Saccharomyces cerevisiae S288C: one gene and its partners. Changing the gene in region 1 together with any one later gene gives a genetic interaction. Each region holds a gene or a part of one and is shown on either strand. Other genes may lie near its edges. The genes, in order: DDC1, POL3, CSM3 and DCC1.

Evidence for each region.
Region 2: mutations in DDC1 (region 1) and POL3 together harm fitness more than expected from each alone (negative genetic interaction), as found in Saccharomyces cerevisiae (5 studies listed by BioGRID, with this or other methods).
Region 3: mutations in DDC1 (region 1) and CSM3 together harm fitness more than expected from each alone (negative genetic interaction), as found in Saccharomyces cerevisiae (7 studies listed by BioGRID, with this or other methods).
Region 4: mutations in DDC1 (region 1) and DCC1 together harm fitness more than expected from each alone (negative genetic interaction), as found in Saccharomyces cerevisiae (5 studies listed by BioGRID, with this or other methods).

Annotation. Positions count from the first base shown.
Region 1 is NC_001148.4:177,422-181,640, reverse strand, and holds DDC1 (Ddc1p), read right to left. Parts: upstream 2,365-4,219; coding exon 526-2,364; downstream 1-525. Other genes in the region: RSA1 (Rsa1p), read right to left, coding at 1-238; APL5 (Apl5p), read right to left, coding at 2,620-4,219. UniProt on the Saccharomyces cerevisiae protein: Component of the checkpoint clamp complex involved in the surveillance mechanism that allows the DNA repair pathways to act to restore the integrity of the DNA prior to DNA synthesis or separation of the replicated chromosomes.
Region 2 is NC_001136.10:275,222-280,752, reverse strand, and holds POL3 (DNA-directed DNA polymerase delta POL3), read right to left. Parts: upstream 3,882-5,531; coding exon 588-3,881; downstream 1-587. Other genes in the region: serine/threonine protein kinase DUN1, read left to right, coding at 1-446; QRI1 (UDP-N-acetylglucosamine diphosphorylase), read left to right, coding at 4,172-5,531.
Region 3 is NC_001145.3:365,190-368,434, reverse strand, and holds CSM3 (Csm3p), read right to left. Parts: upstream 1,455-3,245; coding exon 501-1,454; downstream 1-500. Other genes in the region: ribosome biogenesis protein ERB1, read left to right, coding at 1-341; FG-nucleoporin NUP116, read left to right, coding at 1,730-3,245. UniProt on the Saccharomyces cerevisiae protein: Forms a fork protection complex (FPC) with TOF1 which is required for chromosome segregation during meiosis and DNA damage repair. FPC coordinates leading and lagging strand synthesis and moves with the replication fork.
Region 4 is NC_001135.5:94,100-97,371, forward strand, and holds DCC1 (Dcc1p), read right to left. Parts: upstream 1,665-3,272; coding exon 522-1,664; downstream 1-521. Other genes in the region: NFS1 (cysteine desulfurase), read right to left, coding at 1-171; BUD3 (Bud3p), read left to right, coding at 2,182-3,272. UniProt on the Saccharomyces cerevisiae protein: Component of the RFC-like complex CTF18-RFC which is required for efficient establishment of chromosome cohesion during S-phase and may load or unload POL30/PCNA.

The DNA of each region.
Region 1 (4,219 bases):
ATTGATTATGAGGGGCTACATGATGAAGTTGAGGAGTATAACCGGTATTCCATGAACCTTCATAATACGGAGAGTTCGGATACATATGAGGTGAGTAAGCTGCATTAAAAGCAGAGTCTGTTTTTTGCCTTTTAATTTTCGATTCATCATAGCCATCTGATAGCGTTCCGGAGTATGTAGGTTTGGGAAGCCTAGAATGTCCATCACCCTTCGAATTTTCAAAGTTATTATAATTCATAGTCCATGTCGCAATAAGCTAATCAAAATGGAAAAAGAGATTGACTTATGAGTTAAATATAATAGCATCAATGAAATTTTTAAGTTCCTATTAAGTAAAAAGCTATGCAATATAGAGATATTATGCTATTGAAAATTTTAGTTTGTTCCCCGACCGTGATGGACCATCAGCCGCACGCTCACCAAATTGAGACAGAAAAAAAAAAAAAAACAGCGATCGATATTATCATGATAATTGCTACTTCATCTAATATTTACACGCCTTTATACTGATTTTGCATTATGGTTTTAGTCAAATATACCCCTTGGCTTTTCTACTTGTGTTAGACCCAGCCCATCTTCCATCTCTTTATTGTCCTGTTTCTTGTGATTACTTGTGTCATTCTGGGAATTCAACAGACCTTGCATATGCTTCAATTTTTCTTTCTTGAGCATTCCTTTTCTATCGATATTGCTGCATGAAACCTCATCATCTGCAGCTGGTAACGCTTTTCCCCATGTCACAGTGGTGTCTGCCCTTTTTGCAAATGTAGATTGTTGGGTGGGGTCTTCAGTTTCATTACAAATATCTGCTATGGATCTTTTTAAAGAATTGCTCTCATTACGTGGACAGGCCACTTCATGAGTCGTACCAATGTCAAAACTTTGTTCCCGATTCATGTTCATATGAACTGAACTAGCCTGCCGGAACCGCTTATCTTGTTCGTAATTCGTACTTTGGCTTTGTTCTTCCACGAATAATTTTCTTGCCGTGTTATTTCTATAGGTCTTAGCAACTGTGCTTCCATTATCAGGGGTCAGATACGACACTTTCAAAGGACTGTTTCGAGTTCCAGCCACAGAGTGTGGCAGGTTTTCTCTCTTTAAAGCAGTTTTGCTTTTTAATGGACTTTCGCAGCTTTCTTTGTTGTCTTTCAGTCCGGCCTCTTCTTTGGAGCCAGAGATTGCTGTTTTTATGAATTTTCCTTCTAAAATATCATCGTTAATGTTACTGTCAGTAACTTCAACCAATTCTAATTTTACGCCCGGTTTTTGCATTTGCATAAGAATAGGGTCCCCTGGGTGGCAAAACCATAAACTTATATTATCATTTCCGTCCTGGGTAGTCTTCCAGGATGGACCTATCGTTATGAAGTTTTTGAAGTCCTTCAATTTGAATATTATACTTTTCATATGCTCTCTACGCTTACTATGTGATCGCTTATCTTGTTTTTCATCTTCGATTGTTGTAAATAAGCAATAATGCTCAAGATCGAGCGTACTGATAGTGTTACTCATGCTTAACGCATTTCTTAAAAGGTCGTTATTTTTGCCGTAGACGGCCTTGGTGAATGCAGTTATGCTTAGCCTATGTACGTTAATTTCCAATTTTACTTCATCGGTTACATTAACATTGCAGTTGTCTAAAAAATTCTTCAATAAAGTTGAATTACAACAAATGTAATTAATCTCATCAGCAGCCGTTAACTGATTCCTTTTACGTATGTCTGATTCCACTTCTTCGTTAAATAAGGCTGATGTTAGCTCACGCTCTGTATTTGTAAAAACGTCCAATAGCTTAGGGTCCAAGGGCTCCTGTGGATTCCGATCGGAGGCAGCAGTTCCAAAAACATCCAAAAACCTCCTTTTGTACTTAAGGTTGATTATTATGGGATCGTATTTTATTGGCTGGAATTGGGGACAGTATTCTTTGACTATTAACGAATCCATTTCAATCACCACAATCAATCTATTTGCAAGTGATTCAGGACAGGTAGAAGTGTTGTTTACCGCAATTGTGAATGATTTGATGCCATCACCATCCGGCTTTCTTGATATAGTTGTTAGGTGTCTTCCATTAACACGGAAGGAGTATAACTTATGACTATTGCCGTACGTATCTTCTATAACTTGAACCCCATTTTCTCCAAATACAATCTCATGTGGTTTAAACTCATACTCCTCAAAAAAGCTTTTCTGAAACCTAACCTGACAAAGAGTAGTATCTGTCTCGTTCATTGACCAAGCAATTAACTCATTTGTTGTCACTGTAATCTTGATATCATCCTGAATTGTAGATAACACATATATCGCACGAAACCAGATATTCTGCTTCCCCGACTCGGTGATAGTTGCCTTAAATGACATATATGTCTAAGCAAAGTTATGCTGTGTTATTGTTACACTAGCAATAGTATGTCAAATAATTTTGCAAATCATCTCTGGTCTATGATTACCTTTGGCGGCCTTTGATTCATTCGCGTCATTATTAAATATGCCGTCTCTTTCGGCAAATTGAGTGCACCGCAATAATATACTATGCAGAATAAAATACTTAAATTAATTATAGTTTACGTACGTAATCGCTGTCATTGAGAATTCACGACTTCGATTTTTTTATCGTTAAATGTCAGTGCTTTGGTCTCGAAGAAATTCATTTGGTTCTGGAGAATTTTTTGCTTTCGTTTTTAGTTTGTTTTTTGACTTTGACTTTTTCCCTTTCTTCTTCTTTTTTATAACTATAACTTCTTCAGTATCACTTAAATTATCCTTTTCATCTTTTACAATAAGATTGGCCTCTAAACGACTTAATTCTAACTCGTCTTCCTTTCTAAGGTTGCCCTCTTCCTGCGATCCTCTTCCTGCGTTACTCGATTGCCCAAAATTGGAAAAATCAAAATTTTCAAGTTGAGAGTGCATTCTCAGATTAATCTTGTCCTTTTTCAAAGGATTTTGAGTTGAATGATTATCATGGGGTTTCTGGAATGCATCTTTCCTTTTGGGAGCGGCTTCGATAACAGGTTCATCGGATAAGACTTGAACCCTATTTTTCTTCTTTCCCTTCTTCTTCTTTCTGCTGATTTCAGTTGTAGATAAACTTAGAGAATTCAACGAATTATCGGTTCTATTTAATCTAATAGTTTCTGGCTTTTTATCACTACTTTCCTCCTCATTCAAGTCCAACAAATCTTTAGAGTTCTTAGTTCTTTCTTCGTCTTCTTCACCTAGATAATAAGGATTTGACATCCGTTCCTTTTCTCTCTCAATCTCAAATGGATTTTCAAAATCATCCAATTTTTCCTTTTCTTCATACGAAGTATCAGAATCATCAACGAATTTTAGTTCAACTTGCTCGTCCATTGAGATATCAGACATTAAATCACTGATGGCGTCACTTTTTTGTTCATCTAAGAGTTCATCAGCTGCCTCCTTTGTCAAAAATGGAGTTTCTAGATCAAGATTCTCATCTACTGCTAACTTCAATTGAGTCCCACGCGCAATTGGTGCGAGTTCATAGGCGTTAAAAAAACTAGGCAGGACTTCGCTCAGTAGCATTGGTAGACCTTCCGTATCCTCCTCTAAAGCCTCCAAACTTAGTCTTAAAAATTCTAAAACTTCTACGCTTCTTTCCTGGACTTCGAATGTACTCGAATAAGATAAATTTTCAAAAAATTCAATTAGCTCTTTTAACACCATTTTAATTTCAAAGCGTTTATCCTCCTGAAAGTTATTACACCAATTACTAAATACTTTAACAAGTGCTAAAATTAAAACTTCTTGTACACTATGAGAATAATAACTGATATTCTCAGTCATGATTTTTATTAAGTCGTTACCATTTTCAACTAGGGTAGAAAATTCTCCGAGACACCAAATGCATTCTCTCAATACGGTAGGCAACTGTTTGTTAATATTGTCATTTGAAATAAGCTTTATAATATTAGCAATGGTTACTTCTCTCATTGAAGGAACTTTTATCATCAAATTCCTAAACTGTTCACCAATTTTTGATCCAAGGCTTTTATCAGATATGTCTTGACAGAGCATCGCCAAGTCCATTATTACTGCATTGTACCATTCAAAGTCGTTAACACTGGAATAGTTGTCAGCTGAACAAATCGATATAATGACGTTCACCATTTTTATCTTGTAATTTTCTGGAATTATTATGGGAATTCTCTTTGATTTTTCGTATACGATGCTTCCAGTTTGTAGGATAACC
Region 2 (5,531 bases), on another chromosome or scaffold:
TTGGCCTAGCAAAATTTACAGGAGAAATGCAATTCACAAACACACTTTGTGGTACGCCTTCTTATGTAGCGCCCGAAGTCCTCACAAAGAAAGGATACACATCAAAAGTAGATCTTTGGAGTGCTGGTGTCATATTATATGTCTGTTTATGTGGTTTTCCTCCATTCAGTGATCAATTGGGGCCACCTTCATTGAAGGAACAGATCTTACAAGCTAAGTATGCGTTTTACTCTCCGTACTGGGATAAAATCGATGACTCAGTACTACATTTAATATCCAATCTTTTGGTCCTAAATCCTGATGAAAGGTACAATATAGATGAAGCTTTGAACCACCCTTGGTTCAATGACATACAGCAACAAAGCTCGGTCTCATTAGAATTGCAGCGTTTACAAATTACTGACAATAAAATACCCAAAACATACTCAGAATTATCTTGCCTCTAAACATGAGAAGCATTATTTCAAAAACATTGTTTGAATCTGGATTTTTCCAAGTATCTATTTATATATACATATATATCCACCAACATGCAAAAAGTTGTTAGCCTTTCTTAATCCTAATATGATGTGCCACCCTATCGTTTTTTACCATTTGCTTAATTGTTCTACTTTCTCCTGCAGCTCTTTTTTAACCTTAACCCGCATATAAAAAATGTCACAGTTCTTATTTGAACACAAAACTTCACTATGTAAGTTACCAGCGCACCTTTGGCATTGTGTCCATAATCTTGAGTATTTTTCCTCTAAATCTCTGACATCGTATAATGCCTTTATGTATAATTCTCCAGACCTTGCTAGACAGTTTGAACAAAGAGGGCCTTCACCTTTCCTCAACGGACCTTTACAACTTTTACAAGCCTCAACTTTTTTAATAAAGCTCATCAAGCCTCCTTTTTGAGAGCCTGTGTTAATTTTAATGGATTTCACAACGAACATACCGTTCGCCTGTTTGTCGCCAATAATAGGTGCAACAATACTAATGATTGGATTTTGTAATTGATTAGTTAAATAATAGCGCGAATCCACTTGAATATTGTTTTCTAGTACAAATAATGGATCTTCTGCTCTATTGTAAAGTTTATCATTACCACCGATAATGACATAGTCCACACGATCACCAACATTTGGACCAACGCCCTCTCTCCTCTTCATACGTTCAGCCAAAACGGCGTGCGGCTGTGGATTTGTGTAATTTGGGGCTAACGTCTTTGATATAATCAACTTTGAAATATCTACTCTATTATGCAGAATATCATTGATAGTTTCTCTGACAAAAGCTAAAGCACCATCTACATTTCTTTCAATTAAAATTTTCTTTAAAACTTTATTCATAACAATAGAAACCAAGGAACAGGAATCACGACGGACAGAAGCAAGGCCTTTTTGGTCCAACTTGTCAAACTTGTCAGGATTAGTCCAGAATAAACCTGCATAACGCTTTTTATTTATCAAAAGGTAAGGGAAGTATGCTTTTTCAAATTCTAAGTTAATCGGATGTTTGAATAGAGTGGAGACATATTTGGCAGCTTCGGTACCAAGATCCATAGCTTCCTTTAAATCTGTTGTACCAAACTTTACCATAACGGAATCAGTGTCACCGTAAACCACAACGGCATCGTGCTTATAACCATTCTTTATACAATATTTTTCTTGGACTGCGGTTTTAGTTTTTAAAATCATGGTACGACCATAAGCAGTAACAGATGAAGAAATGGCTAAACATGGCAATTTACCCACCGTCGCTCCTGTAAAACCATAGACAGAGTTAGCTGAAATCTTCAAAGCCAATTGTCTACCATTTAAAACATCTCTTTTGAATGGATCCTTCTCATCTCTCAGATCTTTTTTAGCGCGTTTTCTAGCACTTATTAATTCATCCAGAATAATTGGTAATATACCACGCCTTCTTTTTGTGGTAACAAAATAATCTCCATTAGGTGTTATGACGTAGTCTTCGTCAATTTTAAGATTCAATCTCTCTACAGTAGCTTTGTTACAAAGTGTTGTATAACATAGGTTGTGCGCCATCATAATACTTGGATATAAAGAATTGAAATCCAAAGTTGCAATCGGTACATCGTAATAACCACGAATAGGCTCAATAACAGTGGCACCCTCATATTGGTCATCAGAGGCCTGAGATTGCATGTTAGGTATCACAGTATCAATCTCCAGGCACTTTCGAAATAGTTGAGAAACAACTTTAATTTGTTGACCACGAGCTAGTAAATATGAAAATGGCACACCTGTAACACGAGCCATTTCTGTATAGTTAACTAACGCCATTAGTTTTTCCATAAGCCTTAAAGGCAGGTAGGCGTCTTTCAAACAGTAAACGGCCAACCTTCTTCTTGTTTCACTATCGCCATTTTGTAGATCAGAAATGATGCTATAATGTACATCCTCCTTCTGTTCACCTAAAAAGTGCGCAGAGACTGCATTCAACGTGTAGGATCTTAGTTTATACTCACGCTGAATAAATTGCAAAAGATCCAACTGTAATCGGCCGTCAATATTGACATTTTTGGTTTCTCTTGTACCATAAGCCTTCGAAGAGAACACAGACTCTTTAATTTCTTGCTTAACGGTTTTTAACCTTCCAAAATATGGGAAATCATTCACCTTTAGCGCCTTTGCACGGTTTAAAAGATAAGGGATATCAAAATTTGTAGTATTATAACCAATGATAACATCAGGATCAACTTTGATGATAAAGTTACGCCAATTGCTCAACATTTCCTCTTCAGTGGCGTGGGAAAAAATCATTGAACCTGTTATGGGTGAGCATGTATTCAGAGTAAACACATTACGAATGAATGGTTTCTTAGCGCCAGCAATACTCACAACGTTGGCAATTTGGATGACGGGATCGTATTCAGGTTCCGGAAAGACGCCAATCCTACCAGCACACTCGATATCAAAGGACATGATACGCAATGGAGCTGTATGAGACCAATCACCCTCAGCAGGATGTGCTATTAGGTTACGATAATTAATTGAAACTTCCAACTGACAAGAGGAAACTCTGTTATTAGGCTCAATCATCGAATACTTTCCTTTTGGTAATGTTATCCAGGACATACCGACAATTCCACAATCTACCATTAACCTTAAAGTGTAGGCAATGTTATCATAAGTAGTCGTGCCGTTAGAAAACCACGAGTTGAATGAAAGATGACCTCTTTCAAACGCAGTACGCAGTTTGTTGACCATATGCGGATAGGTGACGTATATTTTCCAGAATGGTAATTTGGTATCTCCGGAATAACCCCAGATAGACTGTTTAGATACAACTTCAATCGAATCAATAGCGTGGTCAAATGTTTCGTTTAAATAGTGCACAAACTTGTTGATTTGCTCCTGATCGTTAGCGTCGGAAGAATTGGGCGCTGGGACGTAAAGATAGTTCTTGAACCCTGTAACATTACAAAGTACAGAGTGTCCTTCACTAGTGACACCAAAAAACCTTACCACGGTAGATGTATTTTCATCTTTGATACCATTCAGTACGCTCTGTTCCGCATCAATTTGTTGGAAAGAAATATCATACAAACTTGGGTCAAAATCGGTTGGAAGTTTCTTACGCTCGAATGATGACAGGTCATGCTCTTCTTGGTCGGCCATATCATGTTCCATTTGCGATAGCTCTTGTTCAAAAGTAGACTCTAATTGCGTACCCATTAAATCTGTATCCTTTGCTTTGAAGCCTTGACTATTATATTTTCGAAAAGAATCACTCGGAATAATCTCTATTGTTGAAACAGGTTCACTTCCAACACCATGATCTATTGATTGCCGTTTGATTTTCTTTTCCAACTGGGGAGTATCCTCGTCATCGATCTTCACATCAACCATGGGAAGGGATCTTTTTTCACTCATTGCTGTGCGTATATGTATAAAGATTAATGCTTAATAGCAAGTGCTCAATATCTATTTTCCTTTATCCTTGAAAATTGCCTTAGATCAGTAGTACTGAGTGTTTGTTCTTCATAAGCGAATAGCAGATGTCCTCATTGAACATTTTATAGAATAAAAAGTTACGCGTAATACGAAAAATTGCCTATTACGTTAAGGCATACTTTTACCACACAAAACCAAGATCAACCGTCAAGCAAGAACGCTGCAAAGAAACGCAGATATAAAGGAGAACACCAGATCGAACTGCAACTATGACTGACACAAAACAGCTATTCATTGAAGCCGGACAAAGTCAACTTTTCCACAATTGGGAAAGCTTGTCTCGCAAAGACCAAGAAGAATTGCTTTCAAACCTGGAGCAAATATCTTCCAAGAGGTCCCCTGCAAAACTACTGGAAGACTGTCAAAATGCTATTAAATTCTCACTAGCTAACTCTTCTAAGGATACTGGCGTCGAAATTTCACCATTGCCCCCTACTTCGTACGAGTCGCTTATTGGCAACAGTAAGAAAGAAAATGAATACTGGCGTTTAGGCCTTGAAGCTATTGGCAAGGGTGAAGTCGCAGTGATTTTAATGGCTGGCGGACAAGGTACGCGGTTAGGATCCTCTCAACCAAAGGGCTGTTACGACATTGGATTGCCTTCTAAGAAATCTCTTTTTCAAATTCAAGCTGAAAAGTTGATCAGGTTGCAAGATATGGTAAAGGACAAAAAGGTAGAAATTCCTTGGTATATTATGACATCAGGCCCCACTAGAGCGGCTACTGAGGCATACTTTCAAGAACACAATTATTTTGGCTTGAATAAAGAACAAATTACGTTCTTCAACCAGGGAACCCTGCCTGCCTTTGATTTAACCGGGAAGCATTTCCTAATGAAAGACCCAGTAAACCTATCTCAATCACCAGATGGAAATGGTGGACTCTACCGTGCCATCAAGGAAAACAAGTTGAACGAAGACTTTGATAGGAGAGGAATCAAGCATGTTTACATGTACTGTGTCGATAATGTCCTATCTAAAATCGCAGACCCTGTATTTATTGGTTTTGCCATCAAGCATGGCTTCGAACTGGCCACCAAAGCCGTTAGAAAGAGAGATGCGCATGAATCAGTTGGGTTAATTGCTACTAAAAACGAGAAACCATGTGTCATAGAATATTCTGAAATTTCCAATGAATTGGCTGAAGCAAAGGATAAAGATGGCTTATTAAAACTACGCGCAGGCAACATTGTAAATCATTATTACCTAGTGGATTTACTAAAACGTGATTTGGATCAGTGGTGTGAGAATATGCCATATCACATTGCGAAGAAGAAAATTCCAGCTTATGATAGTGTTACCGGCAAGTACACTAAGCCTACCGAACCAAACGGTATAAAATTAGAGCAATTCATATTTGATGTCTTTGACACTGTACCACTGAACAAGTTTGGGTGCTTAGAAGTAGATAGATGCAAAGAATTTTCACCTTTAAAAAACGGTCCTGGTTCTAAGAACGATAATCCTGAGACCAGCAGACTAGCATATTTGAAACTAGGAACCTCGTGGTTGGAAGATGCAGGCGCTATTGTAAAAGATGGGGTACTAGTCGAAGTTTCCAGCAAATTGA
Region 3 (3,245 bases), on another chromosome or scaffold:
TAATTGCGTCATCGTTTGACAAGAGAGTTTTATGGCACGACCTGGATTTGGCTAGCACACCTTACAAGACACTAAGATATCATGAAAAAGCCGTCAGAAGTGTGAATTTCCACAAAAAGTTACCTCTATTCAGCTCTGCCGCTGATGACGGTACCATACATGTTTTCCATGCCACTGTTTATGATGACATGATGAAAAATCCGATGATTGTGCCACTAAAGAAACTAACCGGTCATAAAGTAATCAATAGTCTGGGTGTTCTTGATGCTATTTGGCATCCGAGGGAAGCTTGGCTGTTTTCTGCCGGTGCTGATAATACGGCTCGCTTATGGACCACCTAGATAAATAATTTGAAGTAGATATTGTATAATAACGCCCAAGAAGAAAAAATCAAACACTCGAACCAGGCTCTTTCTACAAGCTTTATTTACACAATATATATAAACCTATATGTATAGATGCCCACACGCACGTTTGGATTATTACCTTCAATGACATTGCTAAAAGCCCATTTCCTTCATAGCATCCAACTCATCTTGATCTACGCCAAACTCATCTCCCCCTGGCAATAAATCATAATGAGTATGTTGTCCCTCTATATCATTCATTTCCCACTCTTCCAAACTTTGAATCAGTTGAACGTCTTCTTCAGTCATAGAGCCTTTTTCCATTTTTCTATGCGCATCTAGCCATCCTAATAAGAGCTTCTTCTCATTTTCTTCAAGGCCAACGGGCCCTTGTACCCTGAATGTCTTCAATAATGCATCCAAATCTTCCTTAGGCGGCACAACGTTGTTAAGTACCGTTTCATTATTCCCACGTTCGTCCAAAACTCGTCCTCTTCTGTTGCGATAAGAAAGGTGATAGATATCGTCATCTTCGTCATTATCGTAATCGACATTGTTTACATTCCTTTTGTCTTGCGCAAAACTATCTGCGACAATAGGCCTCTCTTCCGCGGAAGTGACATGTTCTTCAACCATAGGTGATTGTCTTTCCAGGTCTTGCCCAGTCTCCCGTGTGCCAACATCGAAACTCATGCCCATCTCGTCCCTAAAAAGGCTGACTCTATATTCTCTAAGAACTGGATCTGTTTTACCTACTGTTTGACAGATCTTCATAAAATCCTTAAATTTTGCCTTGGGAAACAATTCATGTGCCCAAAGCTGGTAAAACTGAATAATATTTGATAAGTTGTCATATGAGTTTTTTTTTGAGGAAATTCGTATCCTTTTATGTGCATTTTTCAAAACATATGGTAAACCTTTATCACTGAGTAGTTTTTCGGCTGTTAATTTTACTTGAGGCCTTCTCTTTCTAGCTGTAATTGCGGTTGGATCCGCAATGGTAGGATCAACTACTGAACCATCCAAGCCATTTGGTACAGTTGGGTCTTTTTGGACACTATCGGAGTCATTGAAACCTAGTAATAAACTGTCAAAATCTTGATCCATGACCTCAATAAAAGTTTCTGTTCACGTTTTCATGGCATTTTAATCCAGTATATCATTGATCTTGTTACGCGTCAGTTTATTATTGTCACTTTTGCAGATTATCATTACCCGGCATTTTTCCTTACCATGCTCATTAGAAAAAGAACAAAACTAAATTATACTTAGAGTTAATAAAGTGTCATAAGGTCGCAAAGGAAACTATCAGCATTGCATAGAGATCCCGGCAACTGAGAGGCACCATTCAGCTTCGAAGATTTCTTTTTTAAAACATTATTATGTTTGGAGTTAGCCGTGGCGCATTCCCCAGCGCAACAACACAGCCATTTGGCTCAACAGGATCAACCTTTGGTGGCCAACAGCAACAACAACAACCAGTAGCAAACACTTCTGCTTTCGGCCTCAGTCAGCAAACAAATACAACACAAGCACCTGCGTTTGGTAACTTTGGTAACCAAACTTCTAATTCTCCCTTCGGAATGTCAGGCTCGACTACAGCAAATGGTACTCCTTTTGGTCAAAGTCAATTGACGAACAACAATGCCTCTGGCTCGATCTTCGGTGGAATGGGTAATAACACAGCACTTTCTGCTGGTTCCGCTTCTGTTGTGCCCAATTCTACTGCAGGTACAAGCATTAAACCTTTTACTACATTCGAAGAGAAGGATCCAACCACAGGTGTCATCAACGTCTTCCAAAGTATCACCTGTATGCCTGAATACAGAAATTTTTCTTTTGAAGAATTGAGATTTCAAGATTACCAAGCTGGTAGAAAATTCGGTACCAGTCAAAATGGCACTGGTACTACTTTTAACAATCCTCAAGGAACTACCAATACTGGATTTGGAATTATGGGTAATAATAACTCCACTACTTCTGCTACAACAGGAGGATTATTTGGTCAAAAGCCAGCAACAGGCATGTTTGGAACCGGAACTGGAAGTGGTGGTGGCTTTGGCTCTGGAGCGACCAACTCTACAGGATTGTTTGGAAGCTCTACTAACCTCTCAGGAAATTCTGCATTTGGAGCAAATAAACCTGCCACTTCCGGGGGATTGTTTGGTAATACAACTAACAACCCAACAAACGGCACTAATAATACAGGCCTTTTCGGCCAGCAGAACTCAAATACAAACGGAGGATTATTTGGTCAACAGCAAAATTCATTTGGGGCGAATAATGTCAGTAACGGGGGAGCCTTTGGTCAGGTGAATCGTGGTGCCTTTCCCCAACAACAAACACAACAAGGTAGTGGTGGTATATTTGGTCAATCAAACGCTAACGCAAATGGTGGCGCTTTCGGCCAACAGCAAGGCACTGGTGCTCTTTTTGGAGCTAAACCTGCTTCTGGTGGACTATTTGGACAATCTGCTGGTTCAAAAGCATTCGGAATGAATACCAACCCCACTGGTACCACTGGTGGCTTATTTGGGCAAACCAATCAGCAGCAAAGTGGAGGAGGGTTATTTGGCCAGCAACAAAATTCCAACGCTGGAGGATTGTTCGGTCAGAATAACCAAAGCCAGAACCAATCCGGATTATTTGGACAACAAAACTCCTCAAACGCATTTGGCCAGCCACAGCAACAAGGCGGATTATTTGGAAGCAAACCTGCAGGAGGACTGTTTGGACAACAGCAGGGAGCATCCACTTTTGCGTCTGGTAATGCCCAAAATAATTCTATATTTGGGCAAAATAACCAACAACAGCAATCAACCGGGGGATTATTCGGACAACAAAACAACCAGTCGCAGTCCCAACCTGGTGGATTGTTTGGCCAGACCAATCAAAATA
Region 4 (3,272 bases), on another chromosome or scaffold:
AGCCTGAATATCGGTATGCGTTTCCAGAGAGAAGTTGTCGTCTAACTTCACGCCTGCTGCAGGAGGGGAATAGAATCTCCTGCTTACCAAACAAGCCCTATATGTGGCCGCTGGAACGTTGTAAACTTGAGATAATCTTGTTATCGATCTTGTAGCAGTTGATTTCAACATCTTCCAGTTGTAGCAGTTCCTTCGTGTATGCGATATATTTTAATGAAAATGATGTATCTGAAATAGAAAATATAACACACTAATGAACTCTGTCGGTCTTTACTCTGAGTGAGTTACTTAGATAGTCATCATATATCCCTGGGCGATGGCCTTACTATTTGTCAGCGACCGTATCTAAAATTGGTAGGTCACTATCAACTATTGCGGGTAATAGGGTGCATAATAGTATTGTAATATATATAAATATATAAAGCTACTATGATAGATATTTGTTGCTATTCACGTCATCCACTATTACTTTAGTGGTTCCGCTATATATTCGCATTGCCCATCGAAGGCAGTTTTGTGTGCTACCTGCTCGTGACCACGGTCTTTTTGCCCAGTCTTTTACGGCGGGCATACTTCATGATGAAACTGTCTATTTTCATACCTCTTGAATTTAGTTCTTCAATTAGAGGCTTGATATCCTCCAAGTCCCACTGTGACTGTAGCCTAAACAGGACTTTAAACCGTTCTTTGGGGTCCATTGGTAGTGTGCTTTTCGCTATATACTGGACAGTCTTATCGGTAGGCTTGAAATGATAGCCTCGCAGCATGTCAATGTCAATGTCACATGGGAAGAAAGGTGGGAAAAGGGACTTCCACTTGATGAGGAACTCATCAATTGGCATGCTTATTCCAGAAACATATTTCCTTAGCGCTTGAATCCCGTACCACTGAGCTATAAACGGTATTCTCAAGCGCCACGTATTGTTTTCAGCCTCTTGCTCTTGAACAGCAAATTTATTCAGCACTGTTTCAATGATTTCTCTTGTGTATGGATTGAACTCGTCCTCAATGTCCTTCCCCACAGCGTGATGTGTATCCTCAACATTCAGATGCTGTAGATCGAGTGATTCTGCCATTGCGCTCATCAGTAGTACATGCAGTGCTTTGAAAAGGAAGTCTTGTGAAAGAATACACAACACACCGTCTTTCACAGATCCACCAATCTTATGCCATTTTGATATACCTTCTAGCGCAGAACATGGTGAGTTCTCAAGTAGTTCTTCCAGGGTCCCGATAACCTTTGTAGATGACCTCTTCATGATTTTGTCGGAGAAATCCAGTTCTCCGTTGTATATTGGTACTGAATTCAAGTTCAATTCGCCATGTGTCTCTCTGGTCTCAAATTCTGATTCAGTCTTGGCGAATCCCACGACGTCCATGTACGGCTTGGACAGTCCAAACAAGAGCGTTTCGTCGAAAGTAATAGGTTGTTCAGGAACAAATTCTCTCATTAGTAGAACTGTGTTTGAATGTTTGCGCTGCTTCAGCACCCAAGTCTTGTCGTGCGAACACAGTACAACTTCAGACTTGTCTTTGTCCAATGACTTAAACCTTAACTGGTGATTTTGAACCGGATCCTGTATTATATCCAGTAACTCTGGTGTCAACTGGATCAGCTTATAAGATGGATCATACTCGGGTGCGGAATGTAGGTTGATGGACATGGTACAGGATTATTAGTGAGCAAATCTCTGGTGGATTTTTACCGTTCATCTCATAGTGCTTTTTTAGTTTATTTTTCACTTTTTTCTGGTTATACTATACGCTGCCTACTGAAGCAATAAGCAAGAAACACAACAGTATAAAGGGACAAAGATAATAAACCGCCTACTACTAAATAATATCGCTGTGGTATGCTACTCCTAGAGATTTCGATCACCATCGTGGTGCTCTTTGTCATACGCATAGAATTGACAAAAAAGAACCCTAAGCTATAAATTAGGTCATGTTGAGCGATTGCCAGTTGCCAAGACCTAGGGTTTTGTTCGAACAATTCTAAAAAGGTAAATAAAAACAATGGTAAACAAAGGCTTTGATCTTCAATGAGGAAGATTTCTCTCACTGCGGATAGTAAAAACAACACTAGTTTGTCTGTACTCGCATTCTACTGCTGCTACCTGCTACTCATTACGTGTTCGGGCTGTTATCTGGTTGCTAAAAGAGTATATTTACACCTCACCAATGGAGAAAGACCTGTCGTCTCTTTACTCTGAAAAGAAAGACAAAGAGAACGATGAAACCTTATTTAACATCAAACTATCCAAATCTGTTGTCGAGACCACACCGCTAAATGGTCATTCATTGTTTGATGATGATAAATCACTTTCAGACTGGACGGATAATGTGTTCACTCAATCAGTATTCTATCACGGGTCAGATGACTTGATATGGGGGAAGTTCTTTGTCTGCGTGTACAAGTCCCCCAACAGCAATAAGTTGAACGCTATAATATTCGACAAATTAGGAACATCATGCTTCGAATCCGTCGATATATCTTCCAACTCGCAATACTATCCGGCCATTGAGAATTTGAGTCCAAGTGATCAGGAAAGCAATGTTAAGAAATGCATTGCTGTCATTCTGTTACAGCGCTATCCATTACTTTCACCATCAGACTTATCACAAATATTGTCCAATAAATCGGAAAATTGCGACTATGACCCCCCTTATGCTGGAGATTTGGCTAGTAGTTGCCAGTTGATAACAGCAGTTCCTCCAGAAGATCTGGGGAAGCGCTTCTTTACATCAGGACTTCTGCAAAATAGATTTGTCAGCTCTACCCTGTTAGATGTTATTTATGAAAACAATGAATCCACCATCGAACTAAATAATAGGTTGGTATTCCATCTGGGTGAACAACTTGAACAACTTTTTAACCCAGTCACAGAATACTCACCGGAACAGACAGAATATGGTTATAAGGCGCCAGAGGACGAATTACCCACAGAATCGGATGATGATCTTGTCAAGGCCATTTGCAACGAGTTATTACAACTACAAACAAATTTTACTTTCAATTTGGTAGAATTTTTGCAAAAATTCCTGATCGCCTTGAGAGTCAGAGTACTCAATGAAGAAATTAATGGGTTATCCACAACCAAATTAAATCGACTCTTCCCACCTACAATAGATGAAGTCACAAGAATCAATTGTATTTTTCTAGACTCGCTAAAGACAGCAATCCCTTACGGTTCCCTCGAAGTACTGAAGGCATGCAGCATTACTATTCCTTATTTCTACAAAGCATATACAAGACACGAGGCGGCCACAAA